4 linked regions of the Stegostoma tigrinum genome follow. The protein of the gene in region 3 purifies or fractionates together with the protein of the main gene of each other region. This does not show direct contact. Links are inferred from orthologs where the notes say so. Each region holds a gene or a part of one and is shown on either strand. Other genes may lie near its edges. The genes, in order: adar, dhx30, eif2ak2 and zinc finger protein 346-like.

Region 1 (7,154 bases), on a different chromosome or scaffold from region 3:
CATTAGGGAAGGAATTCCAGAATTTTGACTCTGTGACACTGAAGGAATACCAATATAATTCCAAGTCAGGGCAGTGAGAGGCTTGGAGGGAAATTTGCAAGCGTTGGTGTTCCCACATATCTGCTGCCTTTATCATTTTAGATACAAGTGGTCACGCATTTGGAAGGTGCTGTCTAAAGGTCTTTAGTGAATTTCTGCAGAGCATATTGCAGATTGTATGCGAGTGATTGAAGGTGGATATGGTGCACAATGCTGCTACTGAGCATCAGTGGTGGATGAACAGGATATCTGTGGATATGGTGCCAATCAAGCAAATTGCTTTGTCCTGGGACAATAAGCTTGACTGTTGTTGGGGCTACACCCATCCAGGCAAGTGGGGAGTATTCCATCACACTCCTAACTTGTACCTTGTAAGTGGTGAACAGGCTCTGGGGAGTCTGGAGATGAGTTAGGCGCTGCAATATTCCTCACCTCTGACCTTGCCAACTCTGATTAGTACAACAGAAGGCAATGACAAAAAGAAGGCTTGAATATATCATAAGCAAACACAGATTGCAGGAGAAACACAACAGGTCTGGAAGTAGGGGCGGTATGATGGCTCAGTGGTTAGCACTGCTGGCCTCAACGCCAGGGAACTGGGTTTGATCTCACCCTCAGGTGAATGTGAATGCCTCCCCACGTCTGGGTGGGTTTCCTCCCACAGTCCAAAGATGTGCAGATTAGGGTTTTGGCCATGGGAAACGCAGAGTTACAGGGATTGAGAAGGGGGGGGGGTTCTGGGTGGGATGCTGTTTGCGGGGGGGGGGGGGGGGGCGGTCGTTGCCTACCTGATGGGCTGAATAGCTTACTTTCACATTATTAGGGAATTCTAAGAGTATCTGTGAAAAGTGACCCAGCGTTTTCCCTCTCCAGCAATTTCTGTTTTTCTTTCGTTTCAGATCTCCAGCACCCGCAATTCTGTTACATTTTACTCGAGTATGTTATGTTTACAGTGAGGAAAAGAAATTATACTCCCGAAGCGCCATGTGGACGGACACGTGAAAGATAAAGCGTTCACCAAAAAAAAACCACCGGTTCCAAAACACGAGGCATAACCACGATGCGGCCGGCTCCACGCTGCCATTTCCTTCCCCCTCCCCACCCCCACCCCCACCTCACGGATATGAATACACACACAGTGTGACCACCACCGCCCCCCAACCAAAATATCACACAATGTGCCCTAGCTCCCAGCCGGCACCTACTGACCCTCCCGGGGACCACCCCGACAATATCGCACAATGTACCTAGAGCACCCCCCCCGCCGCTCCCGGGACCTGCTGATCCTCACTACCGGCAATTCCGCCTCCCATCCCCCCCCGTCCACGATGCACCCACCCCCAGATACCTCAGTGCCGGAGAGGCCCCCCCCGGGCTTCCCGGCACCTATTGACCCTCACTACCCGGTATCTCCCCCCCCCACCCCCACGATATCAATGTACCAACCCCCCCCTCCCGGCACCTATTGACCCTCACTACCCGGTATCTCCCCCCCCACCCCCACGATATCAATGTACCAACCCCCCCCTCCCGGCACCTATTGACCCTCACTACCCGGTATCCCCCCCCCCACCCCCACGATATCAATGTACCAACCCCCCCCTCCCGGCACCTATTGACCCTCACTACCCGGTATCCCACCCCCACCCCCACGATATCAATGTACCAACCCCCCCCTCCCGGCACCTATTGACCCTCACTACCCGGTATCTCCCCCCCCACCCCCACGATATCAATGTACCAACCCCCCCCTCCCGGCACCTATTGACCCTCACTACCCGGTATCCCACCCCCACCCCCACGATATCAATGTACCAACCCCCGCCCCTCCCGGCACCTATTGACCCTCACTACCGGGGATCCCCCCCCACCCCCACACTATCAATGTACCAACCCCCCCCCTCCCGGCACCTATTGACCCTCACTACCGGGGATCCCCCCCCACCCCCACACTATCAATGTACCAACCCCCCCCCCTCCCGACACCTATTGACCCTCACTACCCGGTATCCCACCCCCCACCCCCACAGTATCAATGTACCAACCCCCCCTCCCGGCACCTATTGACCCTCACTACCCGGTATCTCCCCCCCCCACCCCCACAATATCAATGTACCAACCCCCCCCCTCCCGGCACCTATTGACCCTCACTACCCGGTATCTCCCCCCCCACCCCCACACTATCAATGTACCAACCCCCCCCCTCCCGGCACCTATTGACCCTCACTACCCGGTATCTCCCCCCCCACCCCCACAATATCAATGTACCAACCCCCCCTCCCGGCACCTATTGACCCTCACTACCGGGGATCCCTTCTCCCCACAAATATCAACTTAGCCCATTCCCCCCCCCCAAAAAAAATCAACGTACCCCGTTCCGGGCACCTCTTGACCCTGACTCCCGGGGGCACCCCCCCCCCAACCCCAAGCAATGCGCCCACCCCAACCCCTCCTGCTTCGCTCGCGCCGGGCGACCCCGCGTCCCAGTGACGGTTGGCCTCGCGGGCGGGCTGACGGCTCCTGAAGGATGAAACCTCCTCCGTCTCCTCAGGTAAGGCCACCGGTTTGAAACGCGCCTCCTCACCTCCGATCAACCGGCTTTCACAGCGAAGCGGCGACCGCCATCGCGTGCGAGGCGGAGTGTTCGGCGGCGCGGTGACCGACTAACTGACTTGTGTGTCAGTGTCAATGAGCGAGCGTGAGAGACAGAGAGACACAGTGACCGGCTAGGCCTCGGCTTTTTCCCTCCTCCTCTTCCCGCCCTCAAGCTCCTTACCTACGCTCCGCATCGTCGAGGTGGCGCCTCCATTCTGCTCCCGTTTCCTGTTCGTTTATTTTCTCCCCCCCGCTTCAAACGTACAGATTCAAATGTTCGGACATTAGCTTAAATAAAAGACCTTCTCCCTCCCAAATCTCTCATGTACACACCACCTTCTCCTATTGTGTTCTGCCTTCAAATGACAACAACCTCCCCTCCCCCCACTTTCCTTCCTTCTACCCTCCCCGCCTCCGCCGCTCGCTCCTCCCCTCCCCCACCCTCACCCTCCATCACCGCCGGAGGCCGAACCGGAAATTGCATAATGTACCCGTCCGCGTTGAAACTTTCTTGAAAGATGTGCAGCGGCCATCTTTGATCAAGGCAAGGCTGGTCCATACATCGAGGGTGTCTTCGGGGGTTAGGGAAGGGAAGACGCGAGGCGGTATTTACCAAGCTGTAGCTCCCCTCCCCCCCAACCCCAAAAGACGGAAGTTGAGAGACTATAATCTTATAACTGACTTAGAAATATCCAGACTTTATTTGGCGAGCCGAAGGACTGACTGAGACCGTGACGACGATTGGGGCCCTGTTTCTACCTTATTTTGCCGCCGATCCCTCCCGTAACCGCCCAAGTTATTTTTTTGGGGGTGGTGGGGTGGGGGAGAGAAGGTGGAAGGCAACTATCCGATGTCCTCTGCAATACCACGATCGAACCTGCCTCGACCACGCATAAAGGATTTTTCTGATGAAGGGTCTAGGCCCGAAACGTCATTGTGCTCCTATAACGCTGCTTGGCCTGCTGTGTTCATCCAGCCCCACACTTTGTTAAAATTGTGATCAGAGATAATGGGGACTGCAGATGCTGGAGAATCCAAGATGACAAACTGTGAAGCTGGATGAACACAGCAGGCTCTGATGAAGGGTCTAGGCCCGAAATGTCAGCTCCTGAGCTCCTGCTCGGCCTGCTGTGTTCATTCAGCTTCACACTTTGTCATCTCGTATACCACCACCGCATCTACGGCGGTGGGGGGGGGGGGAGGGGTGGGAGTTTCCTCGCCTTGCTTTTGCTTTTGTAAAAGCAAGTACCCTAGTCCTCAGAGATAATAGGAGCTACAGATGCTGGAGAATCAAAGATAGCAAGTTGTAGAACTTGATGAACACAGCAGGCTAAAGCAGCATCAGAGGAGCAGGAAAGCTGACGTTTCGGACCTAGACCCTCAGAAAAGGGTCTAGACCCGTAACGTCAGCTTTCCTGCTGCTTGGCCTGCTGTGTTTGTCCAGCTCTACACCTTGTTACACTAATCCTCAGTCTGTTGCAAATGGGAACAGGTTTTCCCTATCCAGACTTCATGATTTTCAGAACTATCAAATGTCCTCGTAGCTGTCTTTTTCAAGAAAAAAGTAGTGTTCAATTTTACCTCCAGTATTATTTCATACTACTGAGTATGCACCATTGTAAACCCTTTCCAATTCATTCACATCGTTCCTATCATCTGTTACCCACAGCTGTATGCAGTACTCCAAATGGAGGTCTAACCAACAAGTTAAACCAGCTCATAACCCCCTGCCATATGCTGTCCCTACTTAATTATGCACTATTCTGGGTCTTCATAAATAGCTGTCCCCACCCCCATCATATCTTGCTAATTTAGTAATTACTAAATTTACTTACTAATTTTAGTAATTTATAATGTATACCTACACTTAAGTCTGTTCATCTGCTCTAGTACCCTTTATTTTGTACCGTCTTTCATGTTTATTTTAAAATCACCCCCTTCTGTATTAAGGATCATTTACCACCCATTCATCTGGGGTGTTAACATCCTATCGAAGATCTTCTTTCAAGCTTTGTTGCCCCCCCCTGCATAAACACTAATTAGAAAAATAACAATCCTAATGCTGACTCCATGACAAGACTTCTGCAGCTAAAGACATTAACTATTACCTGATTACTGTAACTGATACAAGAGTGGTGAGGGATAGTAAAGAGTTATTTATGGAATCACACAAGATCAATAAATTAAATATTTCTAATTTATGTAACTTTATAAACTGCATTGTTTCAAAAACCCAAAGTGTACAGTGATTAAGATACAGTTTAACAGATTGATGGAAAATATAGATAGGGTAAACAAAATTCCAGACCACAAGGAAGTTTCAATCCTTGTTTGTTTTACAACGATGAGATGCTGTTGTCTAAAGCGATGGTTGTCCATTGATCATGTGACCTTGGGTCTTTTGTATAAAAGACAAAGAATTTGGAAGTCTTGACTTTTACCCTAAAAAGGATGAGGCAAGGGGCAAGAGAGTGTGATGTTATTTTTCAGGCTCGAGTTGCTGTTGGCTCCTACAGATCTTTTGCTAGGGGGAATTTCCTTAAATATTTTGTGCTGTTCAGTCTATAAAAATTTTCCTTCTTACTACTTTCAAAAAAGGAACAATTTGTATTGCACAGCTCAACAAAATGCCACCCTTTTGCAACTTGAAAACACAGCCACAGCAGTTCAGCTTCCATTTCAGTTTGTACACACAAGACAGCAGAAGTGGGCTATTCAGCCTGATGGGTCTGGTCTACCATTCAGTGAATTAGCTAAACAGATAGTGGATTCATTGGTACAGGGCCTGAGTGAGGCTGCACCTAGAATGTTTATTTGCTTTTGGTCTCCTTTTGAGAAAGGATGCTCATGCTCAAGGGAGTTCAAAGGCGAATGTACTATAGTGGTGCTAACAGATGACAAAGAGAGAAGGTAAGTGATGAGAATGAGATTCTGAAGAGGGATAGATACATTAGACAAAGTGAGCAAAAAAGTGCTAGAAGAAAGGAATAGCATGTGAAAATATCAGATTATGCACTGACAGGAAAGGAGGAGTGAATACTTGTTAAATGGAGAAACATTTCTGAAAGCTTCAGAAAGATGTTTGGGGGTGGGGGGGGGTTCCATGTGCATGAATCCCAAAACCTAGCATCCAAGTTCAGTGGGTGATAGGGAAGGCAAGTGGAATGTTGGCCTTTATTGCAAAACGGAATGGAGTGATAAACTAGAGTGGGGGTTTTGCTAAACCTACAAAGGCACAAGTCAAGACCATAGCTCAAATACTGAACAGTTTTGGATCCTTTATCCAAGGAAAGATATGCTAGCATTGGAGACAATCCAGAGAAGATTCACTAGGATGATACCAGGTACAGAAGGACTTTAAATGAAGACAGGTTAAGTAGTTTGGACTTGTACTATTTGGAACACAGAAGAATGACAGGTGACTTTATTGAAGCATTAAAAGATTTAGGAGATTTAACACAGTAAATGCAGAAAGGTCGTTTCCCTTTTAGGGAAGTCTAGGAACAGAGTGAAGGGTTGCACATGTAAAAACAGATAATGAGGAGTGAGCATGCCAACTGGATACAAAATGGCTTAATGGCAAGAGACAGTGGCTGTGGAGGGTTGTTTTTCCAGACTGGAGGTCTGAACAGCCATGCGTCACAGGGATCAATGCTGGGTCTGCTTATGAGACTATAGAAGGTATGGTTATATAGTGAAGAATGTTACTTAAGATTATTATTTAAGATTACAGCAATCTTGTTTGACTGAATGGGCTGAGGAGCAGCAGATGGAGTTTAACTTTGACAAATGCAAGCTATTGTATTTCAGTAAAACAAACAAGAATGGGACTTACAGTTAATGGATAGTCTGAACTGCAGATGCTGGAGTCATAACTTTTTCCTGAAGTGTCTGATCCAAAATGGCAGCTTTCCTGCTTGGCCTGATGTGTTCTTCTAGCTCAATGCTTGTCTTTTAACAATTAACGGTCAGTCTGCAGGAGTATTATAGAATAGAGACCCCTAGGGGTTGAGGTACATAATTCTTTGATATTTGCATTATACATAGGCAGGTGGTTAGGGCAGTGTTTGGCATCCTTATCTTTATTGTTCAGACTGTTAAGTATGGGAATGGGACATAGTGTTGAGCCTGTACAGGATGTTGGTGAGGCCTCTTTTGGAGCACTATGTCCAGTACAGGTTGCCCTGTTATCAAGGTGGAGAGGGTTCAGAAAATATTTAATCAGGATGTCACTGCAATGGAAGGTTTGCATTATAGGGAGATTGGAACATTTTTTCCACTGGAGCAATTTGGAGGGGGTGACCTTAGATGTTCAAGATTGGGAGGGGTCTAGACAAGGTGAATGGCTGATAGCTTTTCCCTAGGGTTGGGGGGAACATTTTTAATGAGATGATGTTTTAAAAATAGGACATGGGGAGTTTTATTTTTAAAATCAGCGGTTCACATGGAATGAACCTAGAGGAAAATGGTCAATATGGGTAAAGTTACTTTATAAACATTGAAATTACATGAATAGGAAA
Region 2 (7,251 bases), on a different chromosome or scaffold from region 3:
AAACAATTCACCCCAAATTGCAGGCATCAGCTAGTCAGCAACAGTTATAACTTTTACTTTTGCAGAGTGGACAAACAGGACTGGTCAACTTGTCCTCAACTTCATTTCAAAGTACATAAACAATTGTCAGTATTGGTTAGAGGCTTCTATTAGAATGTTGTCCATTCACAGATGTTGGTGTGTTCTCCGAGCTGGGAAGTTTGATAGCAGACATTTTGTCCCCTTATTAGGTGACATTCTCAGTGCTGTGGAGCCTTCTTCACAAAAAGTCTGCTATCAAACCTCCCAAATCAGCGAACACATCTACAACCAGCACTCAAGCTGCAAATCTTCACTCAAACCCTGAACATTGTCCATTCAACCAGCATTATAATCTATCCAGCAATCTAAGGAAGGGGATGAAGAGAGGTGATGCACCAATAGTAGAGCACCCTGAAGAAATGAATACCACACCTATCATTCAATCCTCAGTTTGAAACCTGCCATCTGAGAATGATGAAAGAGTTCTCTTGGGAGAATGGAGAAACTAGATTCAATATTAATTTCTAAAGGAAAATGAACACATACTGGAAGAATACTTTTCAGGGTTATGGTGAAAAGAACAAGAGGTGGGATTAATTCAAAATTCTGCAAGAGTTGACTTGGGCACACTTCAAAGATTCCAACAGATTCTTTGTAGATCGTGTCGTGAAAGAATCAAGTCTGTCTTTCTCTCTTATGTTATTCAGTATCAGAATGTGGCCATCCCACTATCAAGGCAACATTCATTTGCCATCCCAAGCTACTTTGCTTGACCACTTCAAAGTTAAAAGGCAGGCCTGATGGTATTGAACTGCAATCATGCAAGGACTAAACCAGGTGAGGTCAGCAGGTTTTTTTTTGAAGAACATTAAGATGAACCAATTTTAGGGCACTCTGAAAGTTCCGTGGTCACTAATAGCTTTTCAATTCCAGAATTTGTTTAGACTGAATGAAAATTCTAAACCTGCCATAGTGGGATTTGAAATTTCTCTGGAATATTACTGAAGATTTGAAGTTTGCTAATCCAATACTTTCTTGCAGGTGATATGACTACACAACTGGGGGTGTGGAATCAGGGAGCCTACCGAACTGTCCTCTCCACACTGAAGTGTCAAGACCAAACTGGCCAACAGTAATTTAACCAAATTAGATTGAAAAATAAACATTGATAACCACTTACTTTAATGTATCCATCAAATGATTTGTAGACAATGCGATCATTTACATTAGAAGCCTTCAGAGCTCGCTGCATGACCTGAACCAGCAGGTTCTTAGGCTGTGGAAACTCTTGAAGAAGGGCCTGTAAGTCTAAACAAACATTTTCGGTGAATTCAGTATGCCAGCCATCATCACCGAGTTAATGCTTGGAAAACCAATTCTTTGTCTTTTCCCCACAAGATGTCAATTTTCTGCATTGGAGATCACTGGACACCATCATTCAAGGACGATTATGTAAAGTGTGATCACAGATTTTTTTTGTAGACTTCTTCCTTTCTTCGTCATTCCACTCCAATCACAAGACAATCAATTACAATTTGACAGATCACAGTGAAGATTAGTTGGCTCAGCACAGAATGGAGAACAAAGGAAATCAAACATATGTACACAACAGATTTTCAATTCTTGCTTCTATGCACCAAACATTCAGGTCAAGAATTTAATATGGTACACAATACGCACGTCAACTGCAGCCTACCTAGCAAATGTTGAAAGTTTTACATGCATTCCTTGCTTTTATTTTCAATGCCTCAACTTATTGGCTAAAGTGCTAAACTGAACTTGTCCTGCCAACTTCACAAATTTGTACACAAACACATCCATCTCTATTCCTCATTGGCTATATGCCCTTTCCTCATTTCTTTCTACCAAAACAGAACACAGAGCATAGATCAGTACATCGCTGTACAGGTCCTTCCGGCCACGATGTTACGCTGAACTTTTATCCTAAACTTAATATCTATCTAACCTCCACCCTCACCATATACTATCATCCATATGCCTATCTAATAGCCACTTAACTGTCCCTAATGAGACTGACTCCACTACCTGCTCTGGCAATGCATTTCACACCCCTATCACTCTCCAAGTAAAGAACCTACCTCTGAATCTCCCATATCTACCTCCACTCACTTTAAAATTATGCCCCTTCGTAATAGCTACCTCCACCCTAGCAAAACGCCTCTGGCTGTCTACTCTATCTAGACCTTTGATGATTTTATACACCTCTTATCAAGTCACCTCTCATCCTTCGTCGTTCTAAAGAGAAAAGCCCTAGCACTCTCAACCGTTCCTCGTTAAGACCTTCCCTCTATTTCAGGCAACATCTTAGTAAATCTCCTCTGCAGCTTTTTCAACGCCTTCACATCTTTCCTGTAATGAGGTGACCAGAACCGGACACAATACTCCAGATGTGGCCGAACCAGGGTGCTGTACGGCTGGAGCATAACTTCATGGCCTTTGAACTCGAGTCCTCTATTAATGAAAGCTAACACACCATACACCTTCTTAACAACTCTATCCAACTAGGTGGCAGATCTCAGAGAACTGTGGTCACGAACCCCCCAAAAATGAATCACTTTAATCTCTTTTTCAGCAAACTACTGAATTTAGTTGAATATTTGTGCGCAACTGCATTTTGTTTCTATATCCCAATACTTGATGGGTAGTTTTGAGTATTTATATTTTTGTCGTTGGTCTTTCAATACACTGTGTAAGTACTTTGTAACATGCGTGTGCTTATATACACAACAAATACTGCAAGGTTGAAGTGTGTCCCCCGGAGGAGTCAGTAGCCCGCACCTTGCTGACCGCTCGCTCCAGTTGGCAGCGGCGGCTCCGACATTCCCTCCTCTCCCCGCGGCGTGACCTGCTGCTGCCGCCGACTCGTCGTGTGCCTGAACCGGCTCATGGCCGCTGTCATCCATATGGGGCCGCACTCCCACTCCGAGTGCCAAGCCAGAGGCGCCGGCGGTCCCCGGGCTCCGGTGCTGGGCTGCCTTCGCGGGCACAACCTCCTCAACAAGAAACACAGCAGCCGCGACATCCCACCTGCGTACACCGCCATCTTGGAAACACGGGCTGGTTCCTCAGGCCGGCTCCAGAACTTCGCGGAGAGACCGGAACAATGCGCAAGATGGACCGTTTACAAAAAAAAGTCAGGAACTCCGACAATGAGCCCAGCGCTGCCTCTGGCGGCAGAATCGAGTACTAGGCGATGGTTAATGCGGTAGGATTGTGAGAGCTCTTGAAAGTTCTCTACTGCTCTTAATAGGGTGGTGTGCACTCTATTTGCTGCAGTAACAATTGTTCTGTCAATGGAAGGAGTGTCAGTCGAATAAGTAGTTTGAATCCTTCCATCACTTCAAAGTACAAAAGTAATTTTGCAGAATTCTTAGAGCACGGAAGGAAACCACTCGGTTCACTGTATCCGTGAGGTCTCACCCAGTGCAATCATCTTGCCTTCTCCCTGTAATCCTGTCCGTTGCTCCTTTTCAAGTTCCCTTTTTGGAACAAGCAAGAACAGACTTTGCAGACGCTTGATGCCTTTCTAAACTAAAAACCTTTTGCCTCTACACTGTCCGTATCCCTCTGTTCTCAGCCTATTCACTGTTTTCTGAAGAAGGGTCTGGACCCGAAACGTCAGCTCTCCTCTGATACTGCTTGGCCGGCTATGTTCATCCAGCTCTCCACCTTGATATCCCACATATTTGTCAAGATGCTTCTTAAACGTTGCTACTGTATCCGCCTCCACCACCTCCTGGAACAGCACATTCCAGTCACTTATCACCATCTGTGTCAACAAAAACCTGCCTCTATCATCTCCTTTAAGCTTATTGCCTGGTACCTTAAACCTGTGCTCCCTAATAATTGACATTCCTACCCTAGGAATAAAACTCTGACCAGTCTCTCCATGCCTCACATAATTTTGTAAACTTCCAAAAGGTTGCAACTCATCCTTCGACATTCAAGTGAAAACAAATCAAGTTTGTCCAATCTCTCCTTATAGCAAATATCCTCCAAAGCAGGCAACATCCTGGAAGATTGTTTCTGTATGCTTTGCAAAGCTTCCACATCCTTCCGTCATGTAGTGAACAGAACTGACCACAATATTCCAAATGTGCCCTAACAGATTGAGGAGTGACCTTTATAGAGGCTTGTAAATTAATTGGGAATAGATAAAATGAATAGTGAAGGTCTTTTTCCTAGCAGAGGGGACTTTTAAACTACAGAGCATAAATTTAAGTTGAGAGGAGGAAGATTTAAAATGGACCTGAGGAGCAACCTTTTCACACAGACAGTGGTTCGTATACATAACCTCGTGGCTCTTAACCTCAATTCCCCTGCCAACAAAAGTAAACACGCCATATGCCTTCATTATAACCCTACAATGGTGAAGGAGACAGAGGATCAGTCAGCCCAGTTCCCAAAGAACATGACCTCATTCTTGCCTTGATTTACCTTGACTCCCAAGGCCAGTTCAAACTGGTTGCAGATTTTCATGATTCTGTGCGCAGTGGACCCAAGCAGAAAACAATGATGTAATTCATGTACAGGGCAGTTTTGACCTGTAGGCCTCTGCTGCCTGGAAAATCACCCCTCTCGCACACTTCCTGATGGAATTGGCAAAAGCTTCTATACAGCGCACAAAGAAAGCAGGAGAGAGTGGACAGCCTTTCCAGACTCCAGGTCTGATCAGGAAGCTTTCTGATTCTCACCCATTGACTGAAACTACACTACAGAGCTTGGTGCAGACCAGTTGGATCCAATTTCATATTCGCTGTCCAAAACCTGTTTTAGGGAGCATGTCCCACATGTTGGTGTGTGATGTCCTGTCAAAGGCCTTCCCCTGGTCCAGGCTGATGAGGAAGGCACCCACTGCCCTTCTTTGCACATAGGTGATCATACTTATGAGGAGCACGTGACTCCCAGAGGTGGTCCTTCCTGGTACAGCACAGGTTTGATCAGGGTGAATCACCGAACCCAGAGCAGACTTGACCCAGTTGGCAATGACCTTAGACAGGATCTTGTAATCCATATTCAATGATTGGCAATTTCTAATTTCTTCCCTGTCCCCTGTCCACTTGTCGATGAGGGTGATGATACCTTTCCTCTTAAATTCACATATTCTCCCTGCCAGAATCATACTATTGTACATCTCCACTGGGTGCTGGCCTATCAAGTCCTTCAAGCTGAATACAACTTAGCTGGTAAGCCATCCCTTCTAGGAGTTTTACTTTTTTCGAAGGACTCAAGGGCCTTGGTTAGCTCTTGAACAGTTCTAGCAGATTGGGCTGTGGCAAATGTAACATTGCTGTTTAAAGAAAAAGGCTGTATGGAGAAAATTGTATTTGACAAACAACCTGGAATTTTTTGCAGACATTAGTCTCAGAATAGGTGAAGAAGAACCAGTGTGCTGGTGTACTGGATTTTCAGAAGGCTTTCGATAAAGTCCCAAGTATGAGTTTACTGTGCAAGATCAAAGCACATTAGTTTGGTTGTAATATACTTGCATGGATTAACAGTTGATTAGCAGACAGGAAACAAAATGTACTGGTCCTGTTTAATGCCACTCCCAACATCATCCTTACAGTTCAGGGGTTTATATCCAACCACCACTAATGATTTTGCCCTTTGGTGTTTCTCAGCTCTAATGACACAGATTCTGTATCATCGAGCTACTATGCTTCCTCACTATTGCATTAATTTTCTCTTTAACCAACAATGCAACATTACTGATTTTTCCTTTTCATCTATCCTTCCTCATTACTGAACACCTCTGGATATTCACTTCCCATTCCTTGTCACACTGCAGCCATGTCTCCATAATTCTGATTAAATCATACTTGTTTTTATTCATTTGCGTGATTGATTCATTCAATTTATTGTAAATGTTCCACACATTGAAACACAAAGCATTATAATTGGCCTTTTTTATTATTACTTGTCCCATTTCCATTATTTTTAAATATGCCCCTATTTGATTGTGGCCCATGATTTCTTGCCTATCACTTTTCTTATTCCCCATTCTGTTTGTTGTCCTTGTCCTTGATTCTCCCTCCTCTGATTCCTCGCTCATGCTATTTTAGTTTAAAGCCTCCCCAACAACTCTTGCAAATAGTCCCCCAAGGACATCAGTCCCGGTCCTTGTTTTATATATTCATGATATATTCTTATAAACTATTAAGGTCACTATTTATTGCTCATCTCAAATTGCCCTTGAGAAGGTAGTGGAAAACCTAAAAACCAAAAGAATTGTGGATGCTTTAATCAGAAACAAAAACAGAAGTTGCTGGAAGAGGATTTGGCATCCTCATGCATAAATCGCAAAACACTAGCATACAATGTCAGTGTGTAATAAGGATAGTAAATGGAATGTTGGTCTTTATTTTAAACGGAATGGAGGACAAAAATCGGGAAGTCTTGTTAAAACTACGTGTGACACTATTTCAATGACACTTATAATATTACGAATAGTTTTTGTTCCCCTTACCTAAGGAATGATATATTGGCTTTGGAGTCAGTCACTAGGTCAATTGCGGGTATCTATGGATTTTCTCATGAGAAGGGTTTGAGTAGGTTTGGCTTGTACTTAGGGCTTCGAAGAATGAGGGGTGACCCTAGTGAAACATTCAAGATTTTTAGACACATGACAGTTTAGATATGGAGAGTTATTTTCACTGTCTGAGACGGAAAGGGTATAGTGGATGTAATCTCTGAAGAAGGGGTCACCCAGTTAGGACACAGATAACGAAGAATTCCTTCGCTTCCTGAGAATCTGTAGAATTCTTTCCTACAGAAAGTTGTCAAGGCTAGTTTCTTAAGTATATTCAAAGCTGAGATATGCAAAAGTTAATCAAGAAGGGAAACAAGGAGTATGCAGTAAAGGCAGGAAAGTGGAGTTGAGAATTATCAGATCAGCCATGATCTTGTTGAATGGCAGAGCAGTCTTGGTGGTTCAAATAGCTGACATCCACTCATACATCTTACCTTATGGTCCACATCTCTCAATTTTAATCTGGCATCTGTGGTACTTGTTATGAACATTTTGCTTCATCTACCTTTTCCTATCGATTCAAAAATTTAAACCCTCTTGATCATTTCAGCCCATAATCTATTGTTCTGAATGCCTAAAGTCTCAATTTTTCATATCCTGGATGAGGCTCCACAGATTGCTTGGCCCTCCCTTCAACCACCTATTCACTCATTACATTTTGGTGTATCGGTAGACTA
Region 3 (7,019 bases):
AGCTAGTTCAAAAATCTGAGTAACAGGTAAAAACAGTTATTATATGCTACTATTATGAAGTAATACTATAACTGATATTTTCCATTAATAGGATTGCAATCAAGACAGGAACATGGTTTTCCATACAGATGCTTGTGCTGCTTTCTTCATGACACACAAATGAGTAATGCAGTTATGTGAATTTCAGTGCCGGTGTAATGCTAACATATCTGGGCCCCATATCCCAATGACTGTTGAGTTGTATTAAACATCACATTCCCTTGCAGTAGGCAGAGTACTGGACATGCTCAACTCACAAAATGTTTGTAAAACACAGAATGTAATGTTCCAATGATACATATAAATCCCTGTTTTGATATCTGTTACTGAACAATCCTGAGTGTGACAACAATTATGCAAAAACCAATTTAAGATGCTCCATTGGGCTCACAATCTGCCAATCAGTATTTCTTTCATATGTGATGTCATTTAGTGCTCCCCACCATTAAACTTTGGAATTCTTGTGTCTGTTCTGATGACTGCGAGACAAAAGGTTTTGACAGACTGTCTCTTTCTCACCAACCAAGAATTGTCATTACAAAGAAGTGAAGTATTAATATCAGACTTCCTTGTGACTTCCACAGGAAATGAAACTAGGAGTCATGTACAACAGGCAGCAGATCCAATATTGCCCACTGCAAATTTTCATCCAAATCTAAATCATCTCCCTTACATAGATGGCAACAGGCAATTGTAAACTGGATGCACCACTTTTCCAAACACTTCTTATAAAACTCATTACAGCTGTTAGGAGTCCTGGTAGGAGTATTTGTTTGTGTAAAATACAGGGAAATGTATTTACTAATGCCTTGATTTGGAAAGATAAATCAGTTCTCGTGCAATATTCTTTAAAATTCATTCACGCTACAAGCTAGGCATCCTGCAAAGTATTTTCCTGGCCTGACTTGGCTCTAGGGCAAAGCAAAGGCTAAACATGGATTTTAAACCCAGAGTTAAATTTATTCCAAAGGCCGAGAGTTCAATCCACATACTGAGAGGTGAGTGTATCTTCGAGGCTGTCACATCCAAGGTGTGCTATCACAGTTCTTATGTTTTCAATCAGACCTTCAAGTGTCTACCTGCTTGAGTGGACATAAAAGATCCTATACACACAATGTAAAGAACGTCATGAAATGCAGTGCAATATCCTGGCCAATATTTCACCCTCAAACTCTCAGAGGGTTGAGAATCTTTGGAACTCCTTGCCACACAGAGTTGTGTGGACGGAGTCCTTATGAAAATTTGAGGCTGAGATAGTTTCTTCATCAGTAGCGGAATCAAGGATTAGAGGGAAAAGACAGGAAAGCAGACATGAGGAAAATTACCCAAGGGGACATTACTCATAATCCCATTGAATGGCACAACAGACTCAACAGATTGAATCATCTACCCCGTTCCAATTTCTTGTGGTCTCATTGTGACATATCAAATTTCAGATAAAAGAAAATATCAGATTTGAAGAGATCTCAAGATTTTTGTTCCCCCTTACTAGTCCCTCTACACCCAAGGAAATGAGTCAGGGAGCTAGGTAGTATTATATGGAACAGGAATGTGGCTGGTTTAGAAGATTAGATAGCAGTTACAAACAATCCTGAGTGTGACAACAATTACGCTAAAAACCAATTTAAGATGATTCATTGGGCTCATAATCTGGCCAGCCAATCAGCACACCCTTTTCATGTGATGTCAATTAATGCTCCCCACCAATAATTGAAACATTGCTGAATGTGCAGAATTCAGACACTCACAAACTAATAAAGGATTTCCCTTCATTACAATCAAATGTTCCAGTTAACACATTGAAACGCCAGGATCATTTTGATAAGAACATGTTTAGTGTAGAAAATATATAGGTTATTTCTACAGATATATTAGATCAATTTCTTTTCCTTCAATTCTCTATTTAAGACTGCAATAAAAAAGCAATAATACAAACAACATAAAACAGCTTAATAAAAGTACTGCAGATGCTGGAAATTTGAAACGAGCAGCAAGTGCTGGAGAAACTCAGCAGATCTGTCAGTATCTGTATAGAGAGAGAGGAAAGCAGAGCAAATAGTTGAGTCCAATGACCCTTCAGATTATGATCCTTCTGACAAAGGGTCACTGGATTTGAAACTTTAACTCTGCTTCTGTCTGCACAGGGGGCTCTCTGAGCTAGACTTGCGGCAGAGGGATGAGGATACTCTTCAACAGGGCCTTAGAAATTTCAAATTATCTTCAGCAACAGGCAATCGAAATGATACAAAGTGATTTAAACGAGACAGAAATTGACAGATTTTTGAGGAAAATGTAAGGAAGATGGGGAAAAGCAGGGATATGAAGTAAACCATGCATACGCTCATGGGATGGTCTGGCCCTGTTCCTATGTAACAGCGATAACATTTACAAAGCTGCAGAAGGCCAAGGGACCGGTAACGGGTTGTGAAAAGATACACATCTCCCAGTTGTTCCAACTAGGAGAGCGGTCCAGCCTCGGGTTAATGTCTCATCTGAGAGACTAACAGTGATGGTGTCAGCCTTAATTCTGTACTCAGTCTCTGAAGGAAAGACTTAAATCCCTAACCTGCGACTCAGAGTCCACTGTAACGGAGGTGACAGTAAAACAATATTCACCATCAAGTAACTAATCGGTAAGAAGATTTTTGAAAGCTGAGTCATACTGCAACCCCTGCCGAACCCACGGTGCGTGCCCCGTAAAGCTTCGGCCGGTGTGTGTAATATAACATTATTCTGTAATGCGTTCAGAGCCCCAGGAAAACTCACCGTCAGCGCTCACAGCAGCAATCTCTTGACTCTCGCAGTGGAGACCGTGAACGCAAATTGTCTCTTCCTTCAGTCGGAAAGAGAGTTTCGTTTCTCGGCCTCCGCTCCTTTTACTTTCGCTTTCCTGCAGCGTTACTGAGAGAGGCCTTTAAGGATCAGAGCTGGAACCACTGCGTGGCTCACATTGCAAACACGGAGCGGAATGAAGGGGGATGGATGCAAGGGAGGGTGTAGATTTAGAGTGGGTGTTTAATGAAAGGAGCGTGTTTTAATACAGTATGAGTTTTTGGGGAAGAGGCATTGGAATTCATCTGGCTGAACTTGTTTGAAGGAAGTGTCAGACACAATGCCAAACTTATAGGGAGTGGCTTTTCCCAGCGGACTACCAGTCAGGGTGTCAAAAATCATCACCTCCACCACTTCTTTTCTGTGGGGAAAAGCTGCTTCCTGGATAGTGTTCACTGGCAAGGAACTTGATCTGCTATCCCATGAAGTGCACACCCTCCTTTATTGGAGGCCATGCAGTTTTTATTTCAAGGTCGTTGTGGCATCCTCTACATTGGGGAAACCAAGCGGAGGCTTGGGGACCGCTTTGCAGAACACCTCTGCTCGGTTCGCAATAAACAACTGCACCTCCCAGTCGCAAAGTATTTCAACTCCCCCTCCCATTCCTCAGACGACATGTCCATCCTGGGCCTCCTGCAGTGCCATAATCATGCTACACGAAGTTGCAGGAAAAGCAACTCATATTCTGCTTGGGAACCCTGCAGCCCAATGGTATTAATGTTGACTTCACAAGCTTCAGAATCTCCCCTCCACCGACCGCAACCCTAACCTGTCCGTCCTGCCACCTCAAACCCCATCCCCATCTCCTACCCACTAATCTAACCCCGCCCCCTTCACCTGTCCGTTCTCCCTGGACTGACCTATCCCCTTCCTAACTCCCCACCTACACTCATTTTTACTGGCTCCATCCCTGCCTCTTTGACTTGTCTGTCTCCTCTCCACCTATATTCTCCTTTATCCATCTTGTATCTGCCTCCCTGTCTCTCCCTATTTATTTCAGAATCCCCTTCCCCTCACACATTTCTGAAGAAGGGTCAAGGCCCAAACTGTCAGCTTTCCTGCTCCTCTGATGATGCTTGGCCTGCTGTGTTAGAACATAGAACATAGAACGTTACAGCACAGTACAGGCCCTTCAGCCCTCGATGTTGTGCCAACCTGTCATACCGATCTGAAGCCCATCCAACCCACACTATTCCATGTACGTCCATATGCTTGTCCAATCATGACTTAAATGTTCTTAAAGTTGGCGAATCTACTACCGTTGCAGAAAAAGCGTTCCATTCCCTTACTACTCTCTGAGTGAAAAAACTACCTCTGACATCTGTCCTATATCTTTCACCCCTCAATTTAAAGCTATGCCCCCTTGTGCTCGCCGTCACCATCCTAGGAAAAAGGCTCTCCCTATCCACCCTATCTAACCCTCTGATTATTTTATATGTCTCAATTAAGTCACCTCTCAACCTTCTTCTCTCTAATGAAAACAGCCTCAAGTCCCTCAGCCTTTCCTCGTAAGACCTTCTCTCCATACCAGGCAACATCCTCGTAAATCTCCTCTGCACCCTTTCCAAAGCTTCCACATCGTTCTTATAATGCGGTGACCAGAACTGTATGCAATACTCCATGTGCGGCCGCACCAGAGTTTTGTACAGCTGCAGCATAACCTCTTGGTTCCGGAACTCGATCCCTCTATTAATAAAAACTAAAACACTGTATGCCTTCTTAACAACCCTGTCAACTTTCAAGGATCTGTGTACATGGACACCGAGATCTCTCTGCTCATCTACACTACTAAGAATCTTACCATTAGCCCAGTACTTTGCATTCCGGTTACTCCTACCAAAGTGCATCACCTCACACTTGTCTGCATTAAACTCCATTTGCCACCTCTCAGCCCAGCTCTGCAGCTTATCTATGTCTCTCTGCAACCTACAGCATCCTTCGTCGCTATCCACAACTCCACCGATCTTAGTGTTGTCTGCAAATTTACTAACCCATCCTTCTACGCCCTCATCCAGGTCATTTATAAAAATGACAAACAGCAGTGGGCCCAACACTGACCCTTGCGGTACACCACTAGTAACTGTTCATCCAGCTCTACACCTTGTTATCTCATATTTCAAGGTCTCTTTGGTTCCATGTGTGCCCCTTTCCAAAGGATGGAATCCCAACTACATGCCACTAATTTTCTCTTCAGCTGACACCTCCTGTCAGGAAGAGTATTGATGAAGGTGTTGGTCCACTTTATGACAACGGGTAAGTTAGATGTGAAGGATTAGCGACACAAGAAGCATCATCACTGACCCATTGCAAATTGATACCCACCAGCTGACAAAGATCTTTGAAATGCCACCTTGAGAAACAAAGGGAGACAGTCGACATAGACTAATGAATGGACTCTCTAACTTAAAACAATGCTGGTCTTGTTTTATGTTGAACTTGCTTATCACACAGCCTTTGCAGTGTAACCTGTATACCTTCCTCTGTCAAAGTTTCTTTTTCACCCTATAATCTGTATGCCCTTGCTTACTATGATCAGCCTGTACTGCTCACAAACAAAGCTTTTCACTGTACTTAGGTACATGTGACAATACATCAAATCAAAACAGTGTGGTCATGTGTAGATCATTGGGTATTGGGTAGTAGCAAATATAATATTATTATCATAGTAATTTACTGTTACATGTATTTATGAAAAATACTGCCAAAACATGCCTAAGTCATCATAATTAATCTGGCACCATTTTAATTACATAAATTATAAAAAAGAAATAATACATACTAAGTCAAGACAAATTTCATGTTTTTGTTCCAACAATGGCTTCTTGAATTCACAAGTGACTACCTGATGTGCCTTACTCTGCAGGTGTCAAAACTGTCCATGAGGCTGCAACACCAAGGAGGAAGCACACTGAAGTAACCCCCTGCTGACCCAACACCATCTCTGCCAAAGGTACCTGATCATCACTGATACTCCAGCTGCCGCCATAGCCAGGAGACTGTCCCAACTTTCACAGACTGCTGTCCATTCTCAGCTTCCAAGGACCGACACACCATCCAAATGAACTCCCCAGGATCAAAGGATCATTCACTCTGCCGCAATTGCAGATGCTGCCAAAACACCAAAGGAAAAGAACCGGCCCCAACCCATCAACGCTGGAACAGTTGCTGAAACAATTACTACCATGGCCACGAGGAATGGACTGGATCCACCACTCAACAGCTCCCTGCAACCTCTCTCTAAATACACCCCCACAGAAAGAAGAAAAAGTGAATTTGATTCAAAAGTTAAATGAAGAAAAAAGGATGTAATCGGTCATATGAGAGGGAGTGGATGGGCCGGGAGACTGAATACCTCCTACCTTGATGTCTCTGCAATCTCAAAAGAGTGGGAATTTCTTCACATTGCTAGTTTGTCCATTATCAACAACTTCTCAATATCTCTGGAATCTTTTTCTAAAATGAGTGTGTATATGAGACACGATCAGGGCTGATAACGGCAATGTGTTTGCATTGGTGAGATGTTTACAAATACAGAGTGAACATTCAAGACTATTCAGCTTGCTTTCAGTTATAAGAATTGATTTTAGTTTTTTTTTGCTTACGGGAAACAACCTAGCTTCTAAAGCCATCTGAGATAAAGAATTCCACATATTCACTACACTCAGAATAAATTCCCCCATACCTGTTTCTTGAATGTTTAACCTCTTGCTTGGAGATTATGCCTTCTAGAACTAGAGTCTTCCACAAGAGGAAATGAACCTTTCCACATGTACAATGTTGTCCAGTCCCATAAGAATCACGTATGTTTCAAAAAGGTCACCTCTCATTCTTCTATATTTTAACAAATACAGGCCGAACCTATCCAACCTCTACTCGTAAGACAGTTTTTTCATTCCCAGAATCAGTCTAGTGAACCTTCTCTGATGGCTTCTAGTATCAGTATAGCTTTCCTTAGATAAAGGGAACCAAAAACAGCTTGCAGTATTCCAGGGGAAAATCACAGTGGCTCGGTGGTTGGCACTGCTACCTCACAATGCCAGAGTCTTGAGCTCAATCCAGCCTCAGGCGACTGTGTAGCGGTTACAAGTTTTTTCCTCATGTCTGTGTGGGTTTCCTCGCACAATCCAAAGGTGTGCAGGTGAGCTGGG
Region 4 (7,910 bases), on a different chromosome or scaffold from region 3:
CTGGTTCTGCAGCTGCCTGAACAAAAAGCGACTGACCTCAATGTTAGTTGCAGGGGTCGGCGGAGGGGGGTGGTGTTTGCTGAATTATTTGCAGCAGCAATCGCAGTTTTATGTGTGTTTCTCTTTATAGAAACAGAGGAAGGTGCTCGATGCAAGCGAAGAGGGAGGCAGGAAGGGGAGAGGGGGAGAGGGGGAGAGGCGAGGGGGAGGGGGGGGACGAGGGGGAGGGGGGGGACGAGGGGGAGGGGGGGGACGAGGGGGAGGGGGGGGACGAGGGGGAGGGGGGGGACGAGGGGGAGGGGGGGGACGAGGGGGAGGGGGGGGACGAGGGGGAGGGGGGGGACGAGGGGGAGGGGGGGGACGAGGGGGAGGGGGGGACGAGGGGGAGGGGGGGACGAGGGGGAGGGGGGGGACGAGGGGGAGGGGGGGGACGAGGGGGAGGGGGGGACAGGGAGGGGGGGGACGAGGGGGGGGGGAGAGGGGGGGGGAGGGGGGGAGAGGGGGGGAGAGGGGGGGGAGGGGGGGACGAGGGGGAGGGGGGGACGAGGGGGAGGGGGGGACGAGGGGGAGGGGGGGACGAGGGGGAGGGGGGGGACGAGGGGGAGGGGGGGACGAGGGGGAGGGGGGGCGGGGGGGAGGGGGGGCGGGAGGGCGGGACGACGAGGGGGAGGGGGGGGGCGGGAGGGGGAGGGGGGACGACGGGGGGGGGACGACGGGGGGGGGGGACGACGGGGGGGGGGGGGACGACGGGGGGGGGGGGGACGGGGGGGGGACGACGACGGGGGGGGGGGGACGACGACGGGGGGGGGGACGACGGGGGGGGGGGGGGGGGGGGGGACGACGGGGGGGGGGGGACGACGGGGGGGGGGGGACGACGGGGGGGGGGGGACGACGGGGGGGGGGGACGACGGGGGGGGGGGACGACGACGGGGGGGGGGGACGACGGGGGGGGGGGACGACGGGGGGGGGGGACGACGGGGGGGGGGACGACGGGGGGGGGGGACGACGGGGGGGGGGACGACGGGGGGGGGGGGACGACGGGGGGGGGGACGACGGGGGGGGGGGGACGACGGGGGGGGGACGACGGGGGGGGGACGACGGGGGGGGGGACGGGGGGGAGGGGGAAGGGGGGGAGGGGGAAGGGGGGGAGGGGGAAGGGGGGGAGGGGGAAGGGGGGGAGGGGGAAGGGGGGGAGGGGGAAGGGGGAAGGGGGGGAGGGGGAAGGGGGGGAGGGGGAAGGGGGGGAAGGGGGGGAGGGGGAAGGGGGGGAGGGGGAAGGGGGGGAGGGGGAAGGGGGGGAGGGGGAAGGGGGGGAGGGGGAAGGGGGGGAACGGGGGGAGGGGGAAGGGGGGGAAGGGGGGGAGGGGGAAGGGGGGGAAGGGGGGGAGGGGGAAGGGGGGGAGGGGGAACGGGGGGAGGGGGAAGGGGGGGAGGGGGAAGGGGGGGAGGGGGAAGGGGGGGAGGGGGAAGGGGGGGAGGGGGAAGGGGGGGAGGGGGAAGGGGGGGGAGGGGGGGGGGAGAGGGGGAAGAGGGAGGGGGGGAGAGGGGGAAGAGGGAGGGGGGGAGAGGGGGAAGAGGGAGGGGGGGAGAGGGGGAAGAGGGAGGGGGGGAGAGGGGGAAGAGGGAGGGGGGGAGAGGGGGAAGAGGGAGGGGGGGAGAGGGGGAAGAGGGAGGGGGGAGAGGGGGAAGAGGGAGGGGGGAGAGGGGGAAGAGGGAGAGGGGGAAGAGGGAGGGGGGGAGAGGGAGGGGGGAGAGGGAGGGGGGAGAGGGAGGGGGGGAGAGGGAGGGGGGAGAGGGAGGGGGGAGAGGGAGGGGGGGAGAGGGAGGGGGGGAGAGGGAGGGGGGGAGAGGGAGGGGGGGAGAGGGAGGGGGGGAGAGGGAGGGGGGGAGAGGGAGAAGGGGGAGAGGGGGAGAGGGAGAGGGGGAGAGGGGAAGAGGGAGAGGGGAGAGGGGGGGGGGGAGAGGGGGGGGGGAGAGGGGGGGGGGGGAGAGGGAGGGGGGGGGAGAGGGAGGGGGGGGAGAGGGAGGGGGGGGAGAGGGAGGGGGGGAGAGGGAGGGGGGGAGAGGGAGGGGGGGAGAGGGAGGGGGGGAGAGGGAGGGGGGGGAGAGGGAGGGGGGGGGAGGGAGGGGGGGGAGAGGGAGGGGGGGGAGGGCGAGGGGGGGGAGGGGGGGAGGGGGAGGGGGGGAGGGCGAGGGGGGGAGGGCGAGGGGGGGGGGAGGGCGAGGGGGGGGGGAGGGCGAGGGGGGGGAGGGCGAGGGGGGGGAGGGCGAGGGGGGGGTAGGGCGAGGGGGGGGAGAGGGGAGAGGGGGGGAGAGAGGGGGCGAGGGGGGGGGAGGGGGGGAGGGGAGGGGGGAGGGGGGGAGGGGGGGGCGAGGGGAGGGGGGGCGAGGGGAGGGGGGCGAGGGGAGGGGGGCGAGGGGAGGGGGGCGAGGGGAGGGGGCGAGGGGAGGGGCGGGGGGGCGAGGGGGCGAGGGGCGGGGGGGCGAGGGGAGGGCGAGGCGAGGGGAGGGGGGAGTGGGGGGCGAGGGGAGGGGGGGGCGAGGGGAGGGGGGGGAGGGGGGAGGGGGGGGGGGAGGGGGGAGGGGGGGGCGAGGGGGGAGGGGGGGGCGAGGGGAGGGGGGGGGGCGAGGGGAGGGGGGGCGAGGGGAGGGGGGGGGGCGAGGGGGTGGGGGGGGGGCGAGGGGGTGGGGGGAGGGGGGGGCGAGGGGGGTGGGGGGAGGGGGGGGCGAGGGGGTGGGGAGAATCATGCTGTGTACGGGGAGGTACCGATGCACGAAGCTCTCGGCCACAGCGAGGAATCTTTGCTATTTACCCCCCTCCCCCCTTTTAACCGAATGCACGACGCTGCCTCCCCCCTCCCCCATAATGCACGGTGCTCATGGCTGGGCGGCGCTTACCAGCCCCGTTGCCAGTCGAGGTGTCGCCGGCACCGGCTGGTTTGAAGCTTTCCATCAGCTGAGGGATCGGTCTCTCCGCCGCCATCGCTGCCGGAGTCCCCAGCTTTTCTCTTAGTTTTAAAATAAACCCTCAACCCCCCTCCTCCCTCCCTCCCTCTCTCTAAACCCCGGACTTGCCCCCTTGCCCCCCCCAGCACAGGCACACACCGAGCCAGCCCCCTGCCCTCAGCAGATCTCGCGTCAACACAGCCGAGCCGCGCGAGACATCGCCCGCCGCTTTCCAGAAAGTTCGTGGCCGCGCCGACGTCAGCGGACGGCGTTGCCGCGGCAACGGGCCGGCGCCGCGCGTGCGGCAGCGTGGACGCGCTCGGAGCTGCCCCGCGGCAGGAACGGTCCGAGCTCGGCTGGAGCTGCCGGTAGTGTCCCTGCATCGGAGACAGGAGACCCGTGTTAATGCCCCACCTGTTGCAAATGTGTGTGTAATAACGTAGCCGAGTGGTTGGATGGGAAAACACCTTCACCACAAGCAGCTGAGGTATTAATTCCCTTGACTGAGACAGTGAAACAAGTTGGAAAGTTGCTCAGCGAATCTGGGGAAATGTGTTTAAACTTTGGCAGTTTTTTTTCTAATTATAAACGATTGAAAAGCACAATATCAACTCTAATAGAATCCAGTTTGATGTTGTCTATAACTATTTGCTAATATCTGAGTATGTCTAGGAATAGAATATTTAAATTAAAGTTTGGACAAAGGGACGTGTAGCTAATTTTGCTGATGACAGAAAGTAGGTAGGAAAGTGTGTTAAGAGGACATAAACAGCCTACAAAACTAATTAGGTGGGGTAAGTGAGTGGTCTAAGGTCCGGCAAATAAGATGTAATGTGGCAAAGTGGGGGAAAAAAATAAAAAGCATATTTTCTAAATGGTAAGATTTTACAGAGCTCTGAGATGTTAAGAGACTCTGAGTATCCTGATGCATGAAGGTTAGTATGCAGGTACAGCAAGTAATTTGGAAACATAACAGAATGTAATGTTGTAATGTGAGGGTAATTGAAAGCAAGAATAGGGAGGTTATACTTCAATTTTACAAGGCATTGATGAGACTGCGTCACTAGTCATGGTACCAGCAAAAGGATGTCAATGTGATGAAAGCAGTTCAGAGGGCATTCACTAGATTAATACCGGGAATGAGGGGATTGCCTTATGAGGAAGGCTCGGCAGGCATTTAGAAGAGTCAGAAATGACTTAATAGAAACATTTAAGATCCTGAAGGAACTCGATCAGGTAGATGTGTATAGGATGTTTCCTCTTGTGGGAAAATGTAAAACTAGGGGTCATAGGTTAAAAGTAGGGGTTCATTTATTTAAGACAGAGGAACACATTTCTCTTGGAGTGTTTGGAATTCCATTCCTCAAAAGACAGTGGAGGCAGAATCTTGCAACTATTTTTAAGACAAAGGTGATAGATTCTTGATTACCAAGAAGATGAAAAATCATATGCAGGAATATAAACTTGAAGTTAAAATCACATGAATGACGATCTTATTGAAGGCTGGAGTAGACTCAAAGGGCTGAGTGGCCTGTTCTTGTTTCTTGCTTGACTGGTGGAGCACCAACTGATAGTATCTAGTAACAGCCAGACAAGGCCTGCAGTTGTACTTGCGGCCAAGCCAAATAGCTCCATGAGGATCTGCATTAAATACCAAAAAGATAATGCAATGACTATGAGGGTCGAGGATAGAGCGAATAGCCAAGGTCTTTCACCCATCTTAGGGGACCCCAAAACTAGGCAGCATAGGTTTAAGGTGAGAGCGGAAAGACTCAAAAGGGACTTGAGAGGCATTTTTTTTCATTCAGAGGATGACACAGGTATGGACTGAGCTGTAGGGGCCTTAGAATTATAACATTTAAAAGGTTTCTGCATGCGTACATGTGCTGGCAAATGGGACTTAATTTATTTAGGTTCTCTGGTGGTATGAATGAGTTGGACCGAAGTGTCTGTTTCCATGTTGTACATCACAATGACTTTATGACTCTAAACAAGCTTTGTTTGTTTATGAAAACAGGCCCGGCCAAGAGGCTAATTGTAGGCTGAAACTTGATTCAAAAAGGTTCTAACAGATGCAGCAAACCCTAGAAAGAGCATTTGTTTACACAGATAGCTGAAATTGGCTATCGACGAGATCAGTACTTGGGAATTGGTTCTGGCAAGTCTGAAAGAAAGCCTATGTTCAAGCAGATTGGCAGTTGTTTAATGGTAATTGAGGCCTCAAGAGGAGTCATTCAGAGTATCAGGGTAGAACCAGAATCAGTGTTCTGTTTAGCTCTGTTTTCTGGGAGATGGTCCAGGGATGCTGCTGAGACAGTGTGAAGATTTGAAAGCTCCCTGCCTAAAGAGTAGAAAGCTGAGTTGGAATTATTGTGGCTTTTGCCTGAGTGAACTGAGAAAATGACCCTGATCGATGTTTCAGAAAAACAGCTAAAGAGTCACATTTATGCCTGTGAGATAATGCATCATGAGTCAATTGAGTAATCTGGCCACTTTTTTTTAGCTTATTTATCCCTTAACTGTGTTTGTTATCCATTGTTCATGTGAATGGGGGCTGGAAACAAATGTTTTGGGTTTAAAGCACTAATATTGATAACCACACCATGTTTTATTTTCTCTTTTCTAATATAAATTTTGTTTTCAATAAAATGTTAAATCTTTTGTTTAAATTACAGAACTGGTGTTGAGAAAATTAATTAATTTCAAAGTTTGGAATTGCTTGTTCAAAAACCTGGTTGTGAACCAGCAGAGTGATTTAGATGGTTTAATGTTACTGTGTTGTGAATACAAAGGTGGATTCGATTCAGCTACCTATCTCTATGTCATAACACAAGCAGTAGTGCAGTTTCAGATTCCCACAACAAAATGGGAACTTATGAGGTTCTTGGAATATGTGATTTTTACCGAAAGTTTATCTCAAGTTTCAGCGCAGTTGTCAGCTTTTGAAACAGCTTTTGAAAAGCTGAAGGCCATTCAGACAAGATTAGATAGGGGAAATGCAGAAAGGGCGTTCTGATGACCAGGGAGTCCAAGACCAGAGGTTATAGTCTAAAGACAAGAGGTAGGCCATTTAGGACTGAGGTGTTTTCAAGGAGTTAGAGATTGTTTTTCAGGCTAAAGGGATCAAAGGATATGGGGAGAAGGTGGGATGAGGGCACTGAATTGGATAATCAGCAATGGCCATGTAGAATGAAGAAGTGGCATCGAAAGGCTGAATGGCCTACTTGTAGACTCAGAGCTGCACAACGTGGAAACAGACCCTTCAGTCCACTCATCCATGCCGACCAGGTATCCTAAATTAATCTAGTCCCATTTGCTAGCATTTGGTCCATATCCCTCTAAACCCTTCCTATCCATGTCCTCATCCTGATTACATTTAAATGTTGTAATTATACCAGCCTCCACCACTTTCTCTGGCAGCTCATTTCATACACAAACCACTCTCTGTAAGAAAATGTTGCCTCTTGTGTCACTTCTAAATCTTTCGCTTCTCACCTTAAACCTATGCCCTCTAGTTTTGGACTTCCCCACACTGGGGAAAAGACCTTGACTGTTCACCCTATTCATGCCCCTTGTAATTTTATAAACTGCTATAAGGTCACCTCTCAGCGTCCAATACTCCAGGGGAAGATAGCCCCAGCCTATTCAGCCTCTCCCTATAGCTCAAACCCTCCAACCCTGGCAACATCCTTGTAAATCTTTTCTGAATCCTTCCAAGTTTCACAACATCCTTCCTATACCAGGGAGACCAGAATAGCACGCAGTATTCCAAAAGTGGCTTAACCAGTGTCCTGTATAGCCACACATGACCTCCCAACCCCTATACTCAATGAATTGACCAATAAAGGCAAGCATACCAAAACCTTCAATATCCTGTTTACCTTTGAATCTCCTTTCAAGGAATGATGAACCTGCATTCCAAGGTCTGTTTGTTCAGCAACATTCCCCAGGACGTCATCATTAAGTGTATTAGTCCTGCCTTGATTTGCCTTTTCAAAACGTAACAACATATATTTATCTGAATTAAACTCCATTGGCCCATCTGATCAAGGTCCCATTGTACTCTGATGTAACCTTCTTTGTTGTTATGCTACTCTACTCTACCAATTTTTCATGTCATTGGTATTCCATGTGATCTCGCCTTGCGAACAAGTCTGCCAACAGGAACCTTGTCAAATGCCTTACTGACGTTCATATAAGTCACGTCCACTGCTCTGTCCTCATCCATCCTCTTTGTTACTTCTTCAAAAAACTCAGTCAAGTTAGTCAGATATGATTTCCCAAACATAAAACCATGTTGGCTCTCCCTAATCAGTCCTTACCTTTCCAAATACATGTAGATCCTATCCCTCAGGATTCCCTCCAGCAACTTGCTCATCACCAGTGTCAGGCTTTTCCTTAATCACCTTTCTTAAATAACAGCATCACGTTAGCCAACCTTCAGTCTTCTTGCACCTCAGTTATGATTATCAATGATACAAATATCTCAGCAAGGGGCACAGCAATCACTTCCCTAGCTTCTGACACAGTTCTAGGGTACACCTGATCAGGTCCTGGGGATGTATCCACCTTTATGCATCTTAGTACACCCAGCACGACCTCCTCTGTAACATGTACATTTTTTAAGCTATCGCTATTTAATTCCCCACATTCCCTATCTTCATACACTTCTTCACAGTAAACACTGATGCAAAAGACTCATTTAGCATCTCTACCACCCACCTTGCTGATCTTTAAGGGGCCTGTATTCTCTCCCTTGTTACCCTTTTGTCCTTAATGTATTTGCACAATCTCTTTGGTTACTCCTTGGCTTTGGCAAAGAAAGCTATCTCATGTCTCCTTTTTGCCCTTCTGATTTCTCTCTGAAGTATACTCTTTAAACTCTTCTAGGGATTCATTTGAACCCTCCTGTCTGTATCTAACATATGCTTCTTTTTTCTTGACCAAAACCTTAATTTCTCTAG

What was found.
Region 1: the proteins of eif2ak2 (region 3) and adar purify together in Homo sapiens (affinity purification with mass spectrometry; 3 studies listed by BioGRID and IntAct, with this or other methods). This does not show direct contact. The link is inferred for Stegostoma tigrinum from reciprocal best matches to the Homo sapiens genes EIF2AK2 and ADAR.
Region 2: the proteins of eif2ak2 (region 3) and dhx30 purify together in Homo sapiens (affinity purification with mass spectrometry; 3 studies listed by BioGRID and IntAct, with this or other methods). This does not show direct contact. The link is inferred for Stegostoma tigrinum from reciprocal best matches to the Homo sapiens genes EIF2AK2 and DHX30.
Region 4: the proteins of eif2ak2 (region 3) and zinc finger protein 346-like purify together in Homo sapiens (affinity purification with mass spectrometry; 3 studies listed by BioGRID and IntAct, with this or other methods). This does not show direct contact. The link is inferred for Stegostoma tigrinum from reciprocal best matches to the Homo sapiens genes EIF2AK2 and ZNF346.

Annotation. Positions count from the first base shown.
Region 1 is NC_081400.1:2,174,201-2,181,354, reverse strand, and holds the start of adar (double-stranded RNA-specific adenosine deaminase), read right to left. Parts: upstream 3,021-7,154; 5' UTR 2,816-3,020; intron 2,717-2,815; exon of another isoform or gene 2,624-2,716; intron 1-2,623. UniProt on the Homo sapiens protein: Catalyzes the hydrolytic deamination of adenosine to inosine in double-stranded RNA (dsRNA) referred to as A-to-I RNA editing.
Region 2 is NC_081358.1:94,688,939-94,696,189, reverse strand, and holds the start of dhx30 (ATP-dependent RNA helicase DHX30), read right to left. Parts: upstream 3,095-7,251; 5' UTR 3,086-3,094; coding exon 2,821-3,085; intron 1,330-2,820; coding exon 1,202-1,329; intron 1-1,201.
Region 3 is NC_081357.1:95,093,132-95,100,150, reverse strand, and holds the start of eif2ak2 (interferon-induced, double-stranded RNA-activated protein kinase), read right to left. Parts: upstream 3,060-7,019; 5' UTR 2,806-3,059; intron 1-2,805.
Region 4 is NC_081366.1:78,746,871-78,754,780, reverse strand, and holds the start of zinc finger protein 346-like, read right to left. Parts: upstream 3,051-7,910; 5' UTR 2,984-3,050; coding exon 2,899-2,983; intron 1-2,898.